Linked DNA regions of Struthio camelus. The protein of the gene in region 1 purifies or fractionates together with the protein of each later gene. This does not show direct contact. Links are inferred from orthologs where the notes say so. Each region holds a gene or a part of one and is shown in the gene's direction. Other genes may lie near its edges. The genes, in order: VSX1 and WDR20.

The links.
Region 2: the proteins of VSX1 (region 1) and WDR20 purify together in Homo sapiens (affinity purification with mass spectrometry; 3 studies listed by BioGRID and IntAct, with this or other methods). This does not show direct contact. The link is inferred for Struthio camelus from reciprocal best matches to the Homo sapiens genes VSX1 and WDR20.

Annotation. Positions count from the first base shown.
Region 1 is NC_090944.1:147,799,438-147,808,816, reverse strand, and holds VSX1 (visual system homeobox 1), read left to right. Parts: upstream 1-5,320; coding exon 5,321-5,708; intron 5,709-5,798; coding exon 5,799-5,877; intron 5,878-5,960; coding exon 5,961-6,084; intron 6,085-6,727; coding exon 6,728-6,908; intron 6,909-7,397; coding exon 7,398-7,663; 3' UTR 7,664-8,407; downstream 8,408-9,379. UniProt on the Homo sapiens protein: Binds to the 37-bp core of the locus control region (LCR) of the red/green visual pigment gene cluster. May regulate the activity of the LCR and the cone opsin genes at earlier stages of development. Dispensable in early retinal development.
Region 2 is NC_090946.1:71,325,097-71,334,985, forward strand, and holds the start of WDR20 (WD repeat-containing protein 20), read left to right. Parts: upstream 1-6,164; 5' UTR 6,165-6,265; coding exon 6,266-6,529; intron 6,530-9,889. UniProt on the Homo sapiens protein: Regulator of deubiquitinating complexes. Activates deubiquitinating activity of complexes containing USP12. Anchors at the base of the ubiquitin-contacting loop of USP12 and remotely modulates the catalytic center of the enzyme.

The DNA of each region.
Region 1 (9,379 bases):
GGAGAAGTTAAGCTCTTTGGGTAGGACGTGTGCCCTGCCTTGCTCCAGCTCTCCCAGACCCCTTTGTCCACTCGATGACAAGACGCTACTAACACACCCCTGTACGTTTCTTCTCAGACACGTCTGATGCCCGGGCCGTAGGGCAACCCGTGTCGCTGGGGCATCCCATCAGTGCCGCCTGCGTTGCTGCACTTAGGTGCACTCTCCTGGCTATTTGCAGAAGGGCGGAAATGGGAGGCACCGCTTCAAGCACGGCAGGTCTGCTGGGTTACGTCCTGGGTTTTTCCGAGACAAGTCCCCCTGGAGAGACACCACAGCCCCAGCAGCGGCTTGCGTGTTGCCCACATGCTCTGCTATGTTAGATGCTCTACGAGGGCAGGATCGCCGCCCTATAGGGGACGGGTAAGAAGCCACACAGTCCACAGTGAAGGGTTAAGATACAGAGGGGCTTTGAGCCAGGGGCAGAGGGGGATGTTGCTGTTTCAGTCTCAGTGAACAGCTGCTTTACCCCAGGGTAGCTTCCGTTACGGCGGTGCAAGGTAACAAGCAATGAGGCTTCGCCCAAGTAACCCTTGGCGGAGGCTTTCTGCTCTTCTGCTCCGCAGCACGTCCTCGGGAGACCCCTGCCTTGTCGCTGATGATATGAGTGGGTTTGTCCCCTGCGGGGACAGCGAAGGAGAGGGAGGCCGAAGAAAACGCGTAACCGGACTTCTCGCCCCCGGGCTAGGTACGGGGCAGAAGGAGCCAAGAGCCTTCGCTGCCGCTCCCAGGCAGGGAGGAAATGCCGTTTTTCCATCCTCAAAATCCAGCAAAGCTCCACTCATGGGAAAAAGGAAGACCACAGACCATAGGCCTGCAAGGGAGAAGTTTCTTATTTCTTCCTCTGAATCCTTTCCCTCCTCCTCTGTCCTCCTCAGAGCGCGGCAGTGACACCAGCAACGCAGGTCCCCGTTGGAGGCGGTCGGGGGACTCTCTGCTGCCAGCGCCGCTCCACCTGTTCATCTGGGACACGTTCGTTTTTGGCACCGTGGCGGAGGTCTTCCTGGGGCACGTTGCAGAAAGCAGGTGAAAAGCAGACGCTGGAAGCGGGGAGGGCAGCTGGGAAGTCACTCGCGCCAAAGGTTTCGCGTCCCTCCCTCGCTCCGGAAAATAACAGCGGCGCTTTGCCTGGGGCACGTTTGGCAGGTAGGGACTGCCCGACGGGAGAGAAACGGAGAGGAGGACAAGGCAGCCCGGCGGTGACCTGAGTGGAAGGCGCCGGGGCCGCCCGAGTCAGCCGAGACGCGTCGACGGCCCTCGCCGCGGGCCGACTCATTTCGCCTTCGTGCCCTTGCCTAAATGAAAGCCAGCGGCCTAAATGAAGAAACTGGCTTGAAACCTTCCCGACCGGCAGGAAAGGGAGAATCTGGGTTGGGCTCACAGCTCAAGGTCGGTCAAGAGCTTTCCGCTGGTTTCGCGGACTCCCGGAAGGGCTGGGGCTGGAGGGGACCTCTGGAGACCACCTCCTCCGACCGCCCTGCTCAAGCAGCCTCGCCGTCCCTGGGCCGAGTCTTCCACGGCCAGAAAAGACCCCGCTCTGGTCCCCCAGGTGCAAGAGGGACCTGAGAAGCTGCGGCGGTGCCCACTTCTCCCATCAAGAGGAAAAAAGGAAATTCGAGGGCGCCGCAGCGGACGGCTGGTTTGCAGGGCCTGCCCGGGGCGGGACGAGGGTCTCCTCGGGGGGGCTGGTTTAGCGCACGTAACCGGGGGGCGGGGGGCGAACCCCCCTGTCCCTCGTGCCTCCACCCCGGCCGCCGGCAAAGCCATCGCCCTGGGTCGGAGGGCGCGCGGCGGCGGGGGGGGACCGCGGCGGGGGGCTATTCCCGACCCCCAGCTCAGTGCCAGCCTCCCCCCGGGGAGGGAACCCCCCTGAAGCCTCCGATTTGGGGCGCTGGGAGCATCTTCCCCCCCCCCGCCCCCCACATCAAACCCAGAAACTGGTGCCAGCTTTCCCGTGTGATCGACCTGATTCATATCTGAAGCAGGGTCTGGGGGGGTGAAAGCTGCCCCATCCCGCTGCTAACCCCCTAAACCAGGCCCCCCGGGACCTTCTCGCTCCCCCCGCGCCCCCCCGCCCCGTATCGCTGCAGGAGGTGGTGGCCCACCCCTCGGGGACCCGAGGCGCCCCCTCGCCGGGTCCCCCCTGGCGGGCGCCCTGCCCGCAGCGGGAGGCACCCTGGGGAAACTGGAGCAGGGGCCCATGTTCGATGCACTGCTCTTTAAGCGATGAATAATCTTTCGGCGTTGGGGAATCAGCGGAAAAAATCTTCCCCGGAAAATAACGAGCAGAGAAACATTTACTGATTAGTCTAATCCCAGATAATCCTATCTGATGAGCATATATCAAGATATCCTTTAACTGCTTTATTGTCCAAAAGACCAGCGGAGATGCCCGTCTCCATCACGGCTGGGGAAGGTGGCGGGCGGCAGCACGCGTATCCTCCCCCGGTCCGGCCCCAGTCCTGGTCCCGGTCCGGGTCCTGGTCCTGGTCCCGGTCCTGGTCCTGATCCCAGTCCTGGTCCCAGTCCCAGTCCTGGTCCCAGTCCAGGTCCTGGTCCCAGTCCCAGTCCCGGTCCCAGTCCCAGTCCCAGTCCCAGTCCCAGTCCCAGTCCAGGTCCAGGTCCTGGTCCCGGTCCCGGTCCCGGTCCCAGTCCCAGTCCCGGTCCCAGTCCTAGTCCCAGTCCCAGTCCCAGTCCCAGTCCCAGTCCCAGTCCAGGTCCTGGTCCCAGTTCAGGTCCTGGTCCCGGTCCTGGTCCTGGTCCTGGTCCCAGTCCAGGTCCTGGTCCCAGTCCCAGTCCCAGCCCAGGACCCGGTACCAGTTCAGGTCCTGGTCCCGGTCCTGGTCCTGGTCCTGATCCTGGTCCCAGTCCAGGTCCCGGTCCCAGTCCCAGTTCAGGTCTTGGTCCCGGTCCTGGTCCTGGTCCTGGTCCCAGTCCAGGTCCTGGTCCCAGTCCCAGTCCCAGTCCCAGCCCCAGTCCCAGTCCAGGTCCCGGTCCCAGTCCAGGTCCCGGTCCCAGTTCAGGTCCTGGTCCCGGTCCTGGTCCTGATCCTGGTCCCAGTCCAGGTCCTGGTCCCGGTCCCAGTCCCAGTCCAGGTCCTGGTCCCGGTCCCGGTCCCAGTCCAGGTCCCGGTCCTGATCCTGGTCCTGGTCCCGGTCCCGGGGACCGGAGCATCCCCGGTCCCGCACGGCGTCCCCCAGCCCCGGCCACACCGCCACATCCTGACCAGCTTGCCGGCGCGGCGCAGATTTAACTGCTATTTCCATTCCTGCATCTATCGGCTTTCTCTCGGGTTTGAGCTTTTATGTTTCATAAACTGATTAGGAGCAATTATGTATGCTTTATCCCCCAACTTTCCAAACGACTAGGCCATATGCATATTTAAGGCTTCATCATCTCTCCCAACAGCTCAGCCTCAACGTAAACTGCTGAAATCAAGCTGATTCTGGGACAACGTCAAAAATTAGGGTTTTATCCACTAATATCTGCTTGGGCAGGAAATTTGTTGTGGGCGGTGGCCGGATTAGGGCTTCTAATTACTGCGGCAGATCCTCCCCGGCCGGCGGTGAAAGTCGCCGCTTCCAGCAGCGCCAGCGCAGCCAAAGCGCTTGGGGAAAGTGAAGGTGCCCGGGGGGCCCCGGGGGGCCCCGTCCCCCTGCCCCAGGCCGGGGGGCCCCGGGGGCAGCGCGCCCCCCGAGCATCCCCCCTCCTGGGTGCGCGGTCCCCCCTCCCCGTTGCCCGGGGGCTTTGGGGGGGGGGGTGCGACGCCCCCTTCCCGCCGCCGTCCCGTTTGCCTTTCTCGGTGCAGCGCGCCATCGCCCCAAGCGACCCCCCCCCCACCCCAAGCCCCCAGCACCGGCCACGGCAATTATCCTAAATGAAAGTTATTGTTCTGCTAATCCCGGGAACAGCTTGCGAGGGGAGATTTGGGTCTTCCTTTAATAATGCAAAGTTAATGCGGAGTCCCCTTGTAATTATCTTTATCAGAAGGACCCTCGTCTAATCTGAGCGCGTAGCGGGGAGGCCGGCATCCGCCGCCCGCCCAAGCCTGCTGCAAACCCTTTCCCTAAACAGACCCGGGGGGGGGGGCCCAAACTGCAGCCCAGGTGCAAGAATCTGGGAGCCGCAAGGAGGCCAGGCCGGGGGTCCCGTCCCCAGGGGGCCGGGGGGGGGGGCGCAGCCGTCTAGGTGGGGGGGCTAACGGGGCGGGGGGGCCACCCGGGCGCCTGGGGAGGGCACCGAGGGCCACCGGAGGGGGCCCGGGGGGGGGCATGAGGGGGGAGGCGGGGGGGGCGGGCAGGGGCCGCGGAGCGGGGGGGCAGCGGGGGGGGAGCAGGGACCCGAGGGGGGGGACCGGGACCGAGGGGGGGACCGGGACCCGAGGGGGGGGACCGGGGCCCGAGGGGGGGGACCGGGACCGAGGGGGGGGACCGGGGCCCGAGGGGGGGGACCGGGACCGAGGGGGGGACCGGGACCCGAGGGGGGGGACCGGGGCCCGAGGGGGGGGACCGGGACCGAGGGGGGGACCGGGACCCGAGGGGGGGGACCGGGGCCCGAGGGGGGGGACCGGGACCGAGGGGGGGGACCGGGGCCCGAGGGGGGGGACCGGGACCGAGGGGGGGACCGGGACCCGAGGGGGGGGACCGGGGCCCGAGGGGGGGGACCGGGACCGAGGGGGGGACCGGGACCCGAGGGGGGGGACCGGGGCCCGAGGGGGGGGACCGGGACCGAGGGGGGGACCGGGACCCGAGGGGGGGGTGACCGGGGGCCCGAGGGGGGGGTGGCCGGGGGCGGAGGGGGGGAACGGGGCCCGATGGGGGGTGACCGGGGGCCGAGGGGGGGAAACGGGGCCCGAGGGGGGGGGGACCGGGGGCCCGAGGTGGGGGACCGGGACCCGGGGGGGGGGGTGGCCGGGACCCGAGAGGGGGGTGGCCGGGGGGCCCGAGGGGGGGGTGGCCGGGGCCCGAGAGGGGGGTGGCCGGGGGGCCCGAGGGGGGGGACCGGGACCCGAGGGGGGGGGACCGGGGGGCCCGAGGGGGGGGGGGCCGGGCCCCGAGGGGGGGGGGTGGCCGGGGCCCGAGGGGGGGGTGGCCGGGGCCCGGGGGGGGGGGCCGGGGCCCGAGGGGGGGGGGTCCGGGGGCGGGGGGCTGGTGGCCGCTAATCCGGGGATTGGGAGCGCGGCGGCGGCGGCGGCGGCCCCGGGGCGTGATTGGAGCCGGGGCCGGTGGCGGGCGGATAAAAGGGGCGGCGGGCGGCGGGGCCGGGCCAGGCGGGGGCGGCGATGCCGGGCCGGGCGGAGCCGTCGGGGGGCCGCGCGGCGGCACCGGCACCGGCACCGGCACCGGCACCGGCACCGGCAGCGGCAGCGGCAGCGGGACGCAGCGCCCTGCCCGAGCGGGCGGGCGGCGCGGGGCGGCGCGGGGCCAAGGGCTTCGCCATCACCGACCTGCTGGGGCTGGAGGCCGAGCTGCCGCCCCCCCCCGGGCCGCCGCCGTCCCCCCCCCTCCACCACCACCACCACCCCGCCGGGCCGCCGGCCGCCGCGGGCTTCGGGGGGGGCGCGGGGCTGGGGCTGCTGTGCGGCTGGGCGGCCCCGGGGCGGCCGTGCCTGCTGCCGGGGCCGGGGTCGCCCGTCGGGGCCGCCCGCCGGCGGCGGGAGCGCGTCTCCGGTAAGCGGGGTGCGGGGGGCGGCGGGGGCCGGCGGGGTGCCGAGCGCTGCCCGCCGCAGTGTCCCTCTCGCCCCCTCCGCGCGCTGCCAGGCGAGGACAGCCCGTCCGGCGAGGCGGCGGCGGCGGCGGCGTCGAGCTCGCCGGCCAAGAGGAAGAAGCGGCGGCACAGGTACGAGCCCCGAGGCAGGGCCCGGCCCGGGCCCGCGGCCGGGGGTCCGGCCCGCCCCGCAGGACCCGCTCTCCTCCCCGCAGGACGGTGTTCACGGCTCACCAGCTGGAGGAGCTGGAGAAGGCGTTCACCGAAGCTCACTACCCGGACGTCTACGCCAGGGAGATGCTGGCCGCGAGGACGGAGCTGCCGGAGGACAGGATACAGGTAGGTGGCCGCGCGGGACCTCGAGCTGGATGCCCACCTTCCCCCCCCCCCGACACGCTCCCGGGCTGCGCTAGGAGACCCCCAACCAGGGGCACGGCGCTCCTCCGGCCCCCGTACCCCCGGTGGGGGCAGGCGGCCCGGCCGCGGCGCCGCTGGGCCAAGCCGTCTCACCTTGGGTGGCTCACGCCTCCTCTGAGGGACACGGGGCGGCTCGCTGGCTTGGCTGAGGATGGGGCAGCGGTTGGGTTGCACCTGCCCCGCAGGAAGGCAGCGGGGGGGCTGGGGGGGAGAGGAGCACCGGCACCCTCCGCCAGCACCTGCCCCGCGGACCCCTTCTCCTGGAGACGAAGGTGGCTTCGTGCGGCCGCCCGGCGGGCAGGCGGAGCCCACGGGCTCCTCTTGGCGACGTTGGCTGGGGACGCCTGGTGTAACGTGTGCTCCCTCTCCCCCCCCCTCCTCCTCTCCCCTCTGGCTCACACCCACGTGCGTGCCCTCCCCGCATCCCCCCCGACACCACCTCTCGGCGGTCCCTCGGCCCTGGCCGCGCGCTGCCCCGCGCGCAACGGGCCCCGCCGGCTGGCCGCGGGTGCCGTCTCCTCCCCTCTCCCACCCCTCCGCGCTCTCCTGGCTGTTACCCCTGAAGGTTTGGTTTCAGAACCGAAGAGCCAAGTGGCGGAAGAGGGAGAAGCGCTGGGGCCGGAGCAGCGTGATGGCCGAGTACGGCCTCTACGGGGCCATGGTGAGACACTCCATCCCTCTGCCCGAGTCGATCATCAACTCCGCCAAGAGCGGGCTGGTGGGATCCTGCGCCCCGTGGCTGCTGGGTGAGCTGGAGCACGGTGCGGCGGGGGGACGGGGCCGGCCACGGCGCCCAGCGAGCTAGCGGTCACCTCTCGTGCCTGGCCACGCGCGCCCGCCCTCTCCCAGGACGGAGCAGGGCCTCAGCCACGAGCTTTGAGCAGGCTGCGGCGTAGCTTGGCCCTTTCGCTCCCTCCCTCTGAAGAGGAGCTGGGGAAGGGGGACCGCTTCCCCGCGGCCGGGCACGGCCCCGCGCTCGCGCCGTGTCGGGGGCTACCTGACCCGCTCCAACGGGGCGGCCCGGGAAGCCCGGGCCCTTCGCAGCAGCCCTCTCCCGGCGAGCCTTTCCCGCCGCCCGCGAGCGGCAGGTGCCCACGGGTCCCGCTGCGGAGCGGCCTCCTCTGGCGGAGAGCAGGCAGCAGGGGCGCGAGCCAGAGCCAGCGCGAGGTTCCCCTCCGGCTGGGGCCGCGGGCGGGCAACGCGCGCCCTCTGCTCTGCTCTTTCCCCTCGGCAAGGCATGCACAGAAAGTCCGTGGAGGCGAGCAGGAAGGCGGAGAGCCGGGAGAAGCCGGCGGACGGCTGGCGAGAGGAGCGGACCGAGGAGGACCGCGGAGGGGAGCCGGCCAGCGCGCAGAGGGGCTCTGACCAGCTGGGCCCCGTGATCGATTCGGGGGACGCGGCCATCGACCTCTCCAGGACGGCCGGGCGCGGGAAGAGAAGCGCGCTGGGCCGGTGCGTCAGCGGGGACCCCGCCGCGGAGCAGGAGGACAGGGACCGCTGAGCTCGGGCTGCCCGGCCAGCCCCCTGCGATCCTAAGAATATTTATTGCTATATGTATATATTTTTTTCCTCCTCAGATAATTGAACTTCTATCTGAATTCAGGGCATTGTAAAACTGAACCCTCCCCTCCGCCCCCCCGCTTCTCAGCTGCTCGCCTCTCAGCAGAGCAGAGAGGCGTCCGAAGCTGGCCAAAAGCGGTGGGAAACCAGGACCGTGCTGTGGGCAGCACGGACGGCCTCTTGGGCAGAGCTTCCCTTCGCCCGGGGCTGCGCGCGGGGGCCCGTCCATCGCCGGCAGCGCCCGCGCGCCTCTCCCGCCCCGAGGGCTCCGGCACGTCCTCCGGCCGCCGCCAGCTGACGTGCCGCCGCAGCCTCGCCACCGCGTTTACGCTGCGTCGCGGTCGGGCCGAGGGACGGAGGCGCTCTTATTTACGCAACCACCTTCGCACGCGCTTGAACGTCGCCTGCCGTACCGGGCACGCCAACAGAGCGGCCTTTCCGAAAACCAAGCCGTAGTACCCCGGAACAAGCGCACGATGTGTGGGTCGACGCAGGAGACCGTTCCGGGAACGTCTGTGAGAGCGCAACGCCCCCGCCGTTCCTCGGCGGTCTGACTTCTGTCCGAAAGCACTTTAGCCTCTGTCTGTCTGGTTCTGGTTTTTTTTCTTCTGAACGTGGCTCTGCCTGTTTTGTCCATCGCTTATTTATTACGCCCCCATAAATAAAGCTGTGGTGTAGCTTCGGTTTTCATGCTGTGCGTGCATCCCCCCCCTCCGCCGCCCCGCCACCTCTCAGGGAAACGGGCGCACGGCAAACGCAGCCGGCGCGGCAGAAAACCGTACGGCGGGGCTGCGCGGGCAGCACGGTTCAGGAAAGGATGAGCCAGGGCTTATTGCAGCAGCAATTACGCGCTGCAAGAGCCGAGATTTAGCACGTTGGAGGCCTAATCCTGCCTGAGCAGCATTTGCAAACCCGTTATGTGGGTTGTGCCGTGCTGGCACTGGTGTCTGGCAGCTTTTTTTTTTCCCCTTTTTGCCCTGCCCGCGCGCGGCTGGCCTGGCTCACCGCGTCGCTCCGGGGGCAGAGCGCAGCAACGGCAAACGCCGGGGCGCCTTCCCCGGCCCGGGGCAGCCCAGCCTGGCGGCCTTCCCGCTCTCACCCCCGGCTGCAGGAGGGGACTCGCGGGGCAGGCTGCCAGCCTGCTGCCCCGAGGTCACTGCAGCGCGCGCCGCCCCCGAACCGCCTCTGCCCCAGGCAGGGACTCGCGCCAGCTGCCCAGCCGGCCGCGGACCAAGGGACGCGGAGCGGGGCTAAAACGGGACCACGTTGGCTTGTTTCTCGGCTTCGCCAGGAGCGGGCGGCCGCTGGCTGCCAGGCACGGGCCCGGGGCGGCGCTGCCGGCTGGCCCCGCTCGCCGGTAACGCGCGCTTCGGCTGGGCGGCCCCTGCGGGGCTGCTGCCCGGGCCCGCAGACCGGCCGCCCGCCGCCACCGCCCCTTAAGGCCCTGCAAGCGCTCCCTCGCGCCGGGCCGGCCCGGCCCAGGCGCGGGCTGTCCGGGCTCTCACCCCCGCCTTGTCCACCCCCGCCCAGCAGATCCCGGCCAGGATCTGGGGATCCTGATCCAGCAGATCCTGGCCAGGATCCTGGGATCCCCACCCAGCAGATCCTGGCCAGGATCCTCGGGTCCCAGCCCAATAGATCCCAGCCAAGATCCCAG
Region 2 (9,889 bases), on another chromosome or scaffold:
AAAAATAACGGTATATGAATATACATCAGCTGGCATTTAACTCATCAGATATTGGGAAATGACATAAATCATGTTAATTCATAGCACCTGGCCATAGAAACACGGAGGCAAAAGACAACAAATGTCACAGGACTATGTGTACTTGATTAAATGATTACTGGTAAGTATATGTTAGTTCAGAATATAATATTGTATGAGCTGGATAAGGATGATTGTTTCACGTAAACTGGAAGAGCAGGGACCCAAGACCATTGCCTGAGAGCTGACAGTTTTTTATGATGCATTAAAATTGTTGTGTGGTGAAATTGTAAGCTACATATGGTAATGACATAAAAATACACGTGTCATAGCAATAAATCCCCCTTCTCCTCAGCCGGTCCCTCTTCTCTTTGCCTTTAAGGTTACAAAATCTGTAGCATAAAAAATACTCCCCCTTTGATTAAAAGATTGCATTGGGAAATTTTCTTGAACCGTACATAGCTTATATCCATTCACCAATTTTCCAGCTCCCAGATAGGAAGATGTCCTGGATGCCAGAGGGATGTCTAAGATTTGGTAATTTAACTTATGCCCTTCTTGTCTTGCAAAAAGAGACATGAGCAACCTGACCATGACAATAATGAAGCCAGTGCATAATTCAGAGAAGGGAGCTCTCCTTCCTTTAAACTTGCAATAATTCAACTCGCACTGAATGAGCAGCTTTTGCTACCAAAGCTCCAGTGCTTCAGGCTGCTCATAGAAAAGCTCATGAAAAGGCTGATTTGAACATAATCTATATAAAACGTCAGTGCTTCATCTAAAGCAATTTGGAGTCAGTCATTCAGGCCATGGAACTGAAATTACACTTGTGACACTGATGGAGAATCCTCTCCTGTGACTGGACAGCAAGCAGATAGCCGTTCTTCTGAAGCTCTCTGCAACAACATGTTTATTCTGAGACAGTATTGTTTCAGGTGAGAAAGGCAATAAGGAAATGTGGAATGTGATAACAGGTTTCCAGTCCTTTTTTGAGACATACATCAAAGCAACAGAAAAAAACGACTCTATCCGAATGTTCTTTGCTTGTGGATTTCTAGAAGAATCAATTCTCTCCCCAGTCTTTTTTCACACAACAAACTAGAGTGCCAGCACACAATATACAGAGGAACAACAGTTCTGCTGCTGCCAAAGAGCTAAATCTAGGCACTAGGCAGCTGAGTGGCCAGGACACAGCTCATCCTCTAACAAGCAAACTTTACTTAATACATCATATAAAACTACGCAAAACTAAGCATATGATCTATAGTTGCCCTTAAAAAGATCTCACCATCAGTTAGCCAGATGCCATGGGAGCCTGAGGCTCTGAGGATAAGCTTAAGAGGTCCATGTAGACATATCTCTTTTATGTTCAAAATGTTCGGAGGCATTTGACTCTGGTCACCTTTTACAACTTTGTTAGTTCTTTATTTATTATTTATTATTTATTATATATCATTTCCCATAAAGGCGGCTTTTCCTCCCTTGGCTGTTAAAGTCCACTCGTTATCTTTCCAAGGACACTTTTTTCATTTTTTTCAGTTTTCCTTATCTTCTGCTTAGGGAGCCTTAAGTCACACAACGGCAGCTACTTTTCTTGTTAATTTGCAGGGTTAGCTAACCGTTAACTAACTGTTGCTCATGCCAGCTCCAGGCTGCTTGAGCCTCAATGCCTATCAATAACCATGTATTATCACAACACTATCACCAAGATGACTTTCACAATAAAAAATCAGCTGAACGAAAGAGGTGATTCTGATGAGCAGAGAAAATAATTTTGCAGTATTTACGTACTGAGTGTTCTTGGCCTTCTTGATGGAGCTAAACTCTCACAGTGCATCACTGACAATCATCGCCATCTAGGAATTTGAGTTTCATACGAAACCTTGATCAGTGCTGCTGGCCAACAATCAGAACCTTACTTCTTCACAGCTTTGTCATTCCTCAGCTGGATTATAGCGATACCGTATGCATGGATATGATGACTTCCATAGTTAGGGAGCTTTGAGAAGTACAGAATGCTGTAGCATCTCTTAGAAATACAAACTATTTGTAGGCCTATAAAACCAATCTTTCCACTGGATTTAAATCAACTTCATAATCTCAGTCTTATCTTTAGAGAGCATAATCTCCAGGATATATAAAGCTTCAAGATAAGAGATGTTATTGATAAGAATGGTACTCTTCACTACAGAGGTAACCTAGTCTGTGCAGGAGACAACGTTCACGGAGATTGACTGCAAACAGCAAAATGAACTCATCCAAATTCACAAGAGAGTTCACTCTCATCCATTCCCAACTGCAAAGCATATTTCTTTCACCTTGCCTTCTCTAATCTAAATGTTTGTACTTAAAAATATGTTTTTTTAAGTAATAACAACCCAAAATTATGAAAACAAAATGTTTCACATGCTTTTCCTCTTGGGGAGTGATGAGAGAAAAAACAATATACACGATATTCCAGTTTAGTACAGACTTAATTGCTTAGAAAATACCCTTTCATTTTGTAATATATATCACAATGTATTATCAATGTTTTTAGTGTTAAATGTGTGCAGTGCTTAAGAAAAGATTCTTAATACAAATAAGGAACTCACAATTTATATTGTTTAAAAATATACCATAAACAATATTTTCTCATGCTGAAAGCAGGTTAGATGTCTGTTAAAGCGGGTAAGCCATACGGGTAAGTCATAGGAAATATATTTCCAACATCATAATTTTTTTTTTCTCCCTGTATTACATTAAGGGATCTTGCATGTCCTTCTCACCAACATCAGTCTTTTGACTCGTTCAGATGTACTGCTTGCAGATCTCTGTGTACTTGTGCCTGCTAGTAATTCATGCACGTTCATAGATTCCGTAAAAAATGACATGTTGCAGAGCTTTTGATACTCTGAAGTCAGTCACCCACTAAATATTTAAATTCTTTTTGGCATCAATAGTCCAAGCAAGACTTGACAGACCTGCTGTAGTAGATAGACATTGCAGAGATGGTCTCCTGATTGCCTGCCTCTGCAAGCAGTGCATATTAGAATAGACATTTTTTTGCATGATAGAATATGGGTGTAGTCATCGTCCTTTTCTTTGGCTCAGAAGCGTTGATAAAAGCGTTCACTGGTATCAGTTGTTGCACTTTTAGGGAAGTAACAGATGGCTCGCAAATTCAAGCACAGAAAAGTTTTGTTGATAATTGTACTCACATTGCATAAGTCTTAAGGCTCCAATTTTCTGCTGCCAGCAAAAGCCTTATTAATGCTGCATCCTGAAAAATTGCAGGACCAAATTATATTCTACATAAATTGATCTCAGAGGATCACACTATTTTATGAATGCTACTCAATTTTGCTCATGTCTGTTTTCCAACTTGCCAAAACATTTGGGAGAAGTAAAGAAAGGATTCAGTAGTGATTCTGACTGACTTTTGATGTATTGATTGTGTAGTGCCTACAAAATAACACATCTATGGGCATCCTCATGGGACTATTTCAGAACTATGATCTTTAGTTAGCTTGAAACAGAAGAATTTACAGTGGCACAGAGAACTTTTTCATGAGGCTTAACTGTGTAATCTCTTTTTTCCCATTCCTTAACCAAGTATTTGATAAGGACTGTTGATGGGGCTGTACAATAGTGTTCTTGTGACTTGCAGCTGTGTTTTTGAAATGAATATTTGTCTTGGATTCTCTGTGGAATCTCTCAGCAGCTTTTATTGATGTTTCTTGGTAAATGTTAAACACTACATCAGGTCTTTGACTTTCTGCACCATCATGTACTGCTGATAACCAGGTACGTGTTAACGTTGTTTATTCTTTGGATCACACTCATTCCATCAGTGACAGATGGCCTGCTGTGCTTTCAGTAAGATTTGCATTCCACGCAATCCTTCTACCAAAGTTGCCTACTTTGTTTTTCATAGTGACCTTGCCAATGTTATCACTGTGTAATGAATAAGACATGCCAAGTCTGCCAGCTTGGAGCAACAATTAACATTCTTGGTTAAATTCCTGTCTGCTTTGAATATTATTATTATTTAGAGATCCTTGCATTTCCTGCTTTTCTTGTGATGACTGAAAACATTCTGATCTTCTTCTCTTTGGAAGTCTGTACATGACATTTCTGCATGAAAGAATGACTCTCAAGATGATGATTCCTAAAATAACCACAGTTCTACTCACCTACTTTATGTGCTTTTAGGAGGTCATCAGTACCATCTGGCAGGGCTGGCTGATAAGCTGACAAGATCTATTGGTCATTATTGATTGGATTTATCTCACAAATTCCAAGCAAGGCTCCAACACCCGATCTTTTTAAAGGTTATCTGTACCTGTTCAGTTGTTCACTCGGATATCTACTCTATGAGTTAGCCTGGAGGTCTTCAGCTCTTTCATGTGTCTCAGTTACGTTGTAATAATATTTTGATGCTCAGCAGCAAGATGGTATTTAGCCACAAACGAAATCATTTTTAACTAAATTGATTTGAGACTAAATCCCTTTTGCCCCCTGGGGTCTGAGTGGACTTCTGTAGTTGAGCTGATCTAATGGATAGCAAGGGAGGTAGAGGTCCTGCTTCCCTCCTGCTCTGCCACACATTCCTGCCCCCTCCCCTACACAGTTACTGTTTTTCATCTGATACCATTCATTTCACATTTAGAGGAGGGGTTAACTCTCTGCCCATTTATCTTTCTGAAATGGCTCCCCATGAGGTCAGATGAGCACCACTGCTTGTGAAGGAAGTAGCAGCAGCAGATAATCACAGTCAGGAATGAAGAGAGCAGGACACCTCCTTTGGTAGCAGCCACATTAGACCAACTCAGTTACAATATGAAACTATACCTTTAAAGTGCATTTTTTATTTTTACTTTTAGGTGATCTAACTCTGTGCTGCTTAGCTTCTCCCAGTTGCACATTCCTAACTCCTCCCTTATTTTGGCTTTACCAGTTCTGGGATGAGTTGGATGAGCTCAGTTGCTGATCAGCAGTTTCCTTGTCTGAGAACCTGCCATTTCTTTTTGTGGGGTCTGCTTTCAAGCTGCTCTGACTCAACCTTTGGTTGCACGATTGCTAGAACTGATGCAAGAGAGGTAGTAAAAATATGCAGCTGAAGACAGAGATCAAAACCCCTTTTTATAGTGGGAGATCAGTCTTAGATTAGCTTAAGTCAGCCATAATTTCAAGCCACGAGGCTGTAGTTACGACAACCTCTTTAAACCGAAACTGCTGCCGCCGAAAGAAAGTCTTTCCTCCCTACCCAGTGAAACAATCCCTTCCGACCCCGTGCAACTTCCTCCCTTGTGCCTGTAAGGGGCAAAGGGGCATTGATCTGGTTCACCATGCAACACAGCCAGCTGGATGACGATCAGAACAATGAAGTACATTACGGGACAACCAGTTTTGCAGGTTAATGTTCAGCTGGGCCAACTCCCCAGCCTGGCTCTGCATGCAGCCATCAGCTTAAGCAGAGACCAGTGCCGAGCTGGAGGGATGCTGGTACTGCTTCCTTTAGGAGCAGTGCTGGCCTGACTTGCAACGTGAACGGCATGTTGTATTTGTTACCCCTTCAACAGGCTTGCTACCCCGCGGGACTCTCCCAGCCAGCCTTAGAAACCCCACCTGAGCCAGCAGTTTGGCACCTCGAGGACACGCCAGTGACAACCTGCGGGCAAAGCTGGCCTGGGCCACAACAAAACAGTAGCTCAGTACAGAAAGCCAAGGAGCTGGCACCCCATTTCCATTTCTGTGACCACCCGGGGAAAAGGCTCAAACGCGCACAGCCGTTATCGTAACCCTGCAAAAAACCACTGCTCGGCGCACACCGAAATCCAGCTTCGGCGCCTCAGGCGGCGGGGGTGGTTACCATCGCGCCTCGCGCGCTGTCAGGGACAGGCGCTCCGGCCCTGAGGCGACGAATTTCTGTCAGGTACAACCCCCGCCCCGCACCCGCCAGGCGCAACCCCGCCGCCCCCCGCCATCTTGAGCCGCCCCCTCCGCAGCCTCCGCTCCGCCCCGCCCGGCACGCGCCCCGCCCCCACCCCACGCCCGAGGCTCCGCCCCTCGCCGCCAGCGCCCACCCAAGGGCCGGCCACCTGGCGCATGCGCAGACGGGCAGTAAACAGGCAGCGCCGCTCCGCCCCTTTACGCCGTTTGCGTGGCCGCCTCCGCGTAGGGCCGCGCGAGCCCCGGCGGCGGCGGCGGCGGCGACGGTTGCGGTTGCGCAGTGGAGCTACATCCGGGCACTGGGGCAGGATGAATGCTCCTTTCCAAGATGGCGGCGGAGGGAGGAGGGAAGGAGATGAACGAGATTAAGACCCAGTTCACCACCCGGGAGGGGCTGTACAAGCTGCTGAGCCACTCGGAGTACAGCCGGCCTAACCGGGTGCCCTTCAACTCGCAGGGCTCCAACCCGGTCCGCGTTTCCTTCGTCAACGTCAACGACCAGAGCGGCAACGGTGACCGGCTCTGCTTCAATGTGGGCCGGGAGCTGTACTTCTACATCTACAAGGGGGTCCGCAAGGTACCGGGGCTCGGCCGCCGGGCGAGGAGAGGGGCTGGGGGGGAGCTCCGCGGCGGGCCGCCCCCCCCGCCGAGGGCTCGCCGGGTGCCAGCGGGGGGCGGCGGGGGGCTGGGGCCGCCCCGCGGGGCCGCTTCTCCTTCGGGCCCCCCGGGGCCTCGCCTTGGGGCTGGCAGCTCCTCGGTTGGGGCTCGGCTGTAGCTGCCGCTTTAGCTGCTCTCCCGATCAGCTGGTTCGTAGGGTAGCGGTTCGAGGAGGGGGAGCGTAGGCCTGGCCTGGAGGGCTGTGCGAGGTGGACTGGCGCTGGCTTAGTGCTGAAGGGCTACGTCAAAATACGGTTGTCACCAGCGGTAGGTGTGTGGGGGGCCCTTCTAAGGGATGTGATTGCTTGGCCCCTCCTTGGCGTACAGGGGTGAGGGCTGGCTTTCCAATAGTGAGGCAACTCGGGGCCTCTTTCACCTGCTGCTTCAGGTGTGAGGTTGCTGGACACTAATGCTTGGCATGGTTATGGTGATGTCAGATCCCTGCTTCCAGGATGGTGGGAGAGCATATCTTCCTAGCCTTAACCAAGTAGTTACAGCTTTCACTTTAATTTTAGGCCTTTATTGTGGCTTTGAAGTGTGGACTGTTTCTAGGATTGTCTCTAAATGGGGGCAGTGCAATGAGCTACATGTCAAATAGTTAACACAGAGAAAGCTGTTATTATAGGAAAGAAATGTTGATTCAACCTAAGAGATCCTCCTTAAATGTTAATATTTGATGCACGGCTAACAGCGTGTGTTTTTGATGTCTCAGTTCACTGTATTTATAAACAAACTTGTTCTGCCTGTTGTTTATTAGGGTCCTTGGCCTCATGGGATTTAGTGGGGCGTTCAGAGTTTGTCATGCTGTGTGAATGCACGTCACTCAATATATGTAAACATAGATGTCGTGATTGTCAGTTTTCTGTTTTCTGCTTTGAAAAGTGGATGTTCGTTACCTTACGTATTTGAGACTCAGCAGCCATAATGTGAGTACCTTGGAGTCTTCCTGCTTGTAGCCCACCAAGCAACAGGGAATGAAGGCACAGAGAACTAGTGACGTACCCAAGGTCACGCAGGAAGCTTGTAGGCGAGCAAAGAATTATACCTGAATCTACAAAGACTTAAGCTAGTGCCCACATCACTCCTCCACCTATATAAAATGTAAGCGCTAACTGGAGATAAAAGCTGCCTGGGTATCTGTTGACTATGACTTGACAGATCTGTCCTATGTAATTGTATGAAAAAAATGCCTACAGATTTTGGTTTCACGCTTTAATGGATTTTAACAATCTACTTATGTTGTAAATAATATTTAAACAAAGATTTCTTTAAGTACCTGATGAGTGTTTTGTATCAAACATGCAGTTGCTATCTTTAATGCTTGCAAGATATTGTGGGTGGCACTTATCTCTAAAAATCCGTCTCTTAAATTATTGCCATGTTTGGATTCATTTTTCCATACAAGTAGCTGCAGACTTCTCTAATCTATATTGCAGAGCAGGTCTTCATGTAGTGTAGTAATTTTACATGTGTTTCTTACCAGTTGTCTTAGTCATCTTTTACTGCACTGCAAAGAATAAAAATCTAAATCCTGGAAGTACATTGAAAATAGGGAATAACTTTTTCAAATTAAAAGGCTAAGCTCAAAGTATTTTTCTAATACTTTTCTCTAGATACTAAAAGCTGTTTTTGTGTGTTGCGGTACACAGTAACTGAAAATTTTGGTTTGTCAAACTGTTAACTTGTGAGCTTTGAGGCATACCTGTTACAACATTAAATACTTTATTTTTTTCTCTCTGATTAGTGTAAAACATACTCATCCAGAACAGATTTTGTTTCAATAAGCTTTTACAGTATTACCATTTTAAAAAATAGTGTATATCCTATATATATATAACATTCACTTTAGTACAATGAACCTAGAGAAACAGCTGAAATAGATTAAAACATGCTTAATGTAAATAATTTAACTGAGAATGGGAAAGATGGTCTATCTTAAACTTGTAATACTTGTTCCTTAGGAACTTATTTTGAAATTATTCAGTTGGAAGTCATTGTTTTGTCTATGTAGAAAATTGACATGAGAACAAGGTTTTGATATGATCATTTGAGCTTTTCAAAATCAGAAGTTACGTATTTTGTAGCTATCCTAACAGAAGAGAGCTACTGTTGCCTAAATTGATAGTGAATAACACTCTCTTAAACTGGACAAACTATCAAACTCTTTGCAAGCCTTTCTGTTTGGGGAGGGGATGGGCATTTAAAACTGACTGATCTGTGAATCTCTGCATGACACAAAGAACAAGATGATGTTAGTGAAGCTGTATTGTATATATCTGGTAGCTTGCTTTTTTTCTTTCTTTTTTTTTTTTTTTTTAAGGTCCGCTTCTTGCTGACAAAATTCTACACTTTTACTGAAATGAGTGAAAGAGTCATGAGGGCTGTATTTTAAGGAGCCGTGTATGTTAGGTACCTAGATAATTCTTGCGTTGGTAATCCAGTGCAGGTCAGTACACATCAAGTAAGATTCAGGCTTAAGCCATGGATGATGCTTAAGAATAAATGGTCTGAATACTGAGTCAAAGATACTACTTGAAAGGCTATTCCTTAAAATCACTGATACCAAACTTTATTCTTTTAGTTTCCATTGGATACTAGATATGCTTTATCTGCTATATCTACTTTGTAAATTGTCTTTTTACCTAGACTACTGCTGTGTGTGTTTTATTTAGGAAACGAAACTTATGTGAGGATCACCATTTCCAGGGATCTTTCTTTAACCTTGATCCTTCTTTCAAGAAACTTGGATTAAAAGTTATGTCTAGCTCCCAGAGCAGTCGTGCAGAACTTGTAATGCTGATATATGATGATGATAGTTCAGGGAAGAGGGTTGGACAGCACTTTGAGCTGTCCTTAGAGGCTTTATGGAGAAAACACAAATTTCTTCTTTGCATCTTTAAAAAGGAAGCTGAGTTTCTACTATTTCATGGTTTTATGTTACCTTCCTCAATGAAAGCACATCTGTTATGAGCCAGTGTTTTTTTCATATTGAAATTTGCACAGTTTTTTTTTTTTTTTATTTATTTATTAATAAGGCAATGAAGGTTTCCAGAAAACTGCTACTTTCTGTTTTGGATCCACTGAAAAGGGAAGTGAGCCTATAGTTAAGTAAAGAGAAATTAAACTGTAATGGAATGAGATGTGGTCGCTTTACTTATGCAAAATATATAATTATTCCTGACTGCACTGAGTATTATTTGGCTTTCACTTTCAGTCCTCCTCAGCTTTGACTTTGAGGCTAGATGTGTACAATGATGTCTTGTTAAATGAAAGTGGTGAA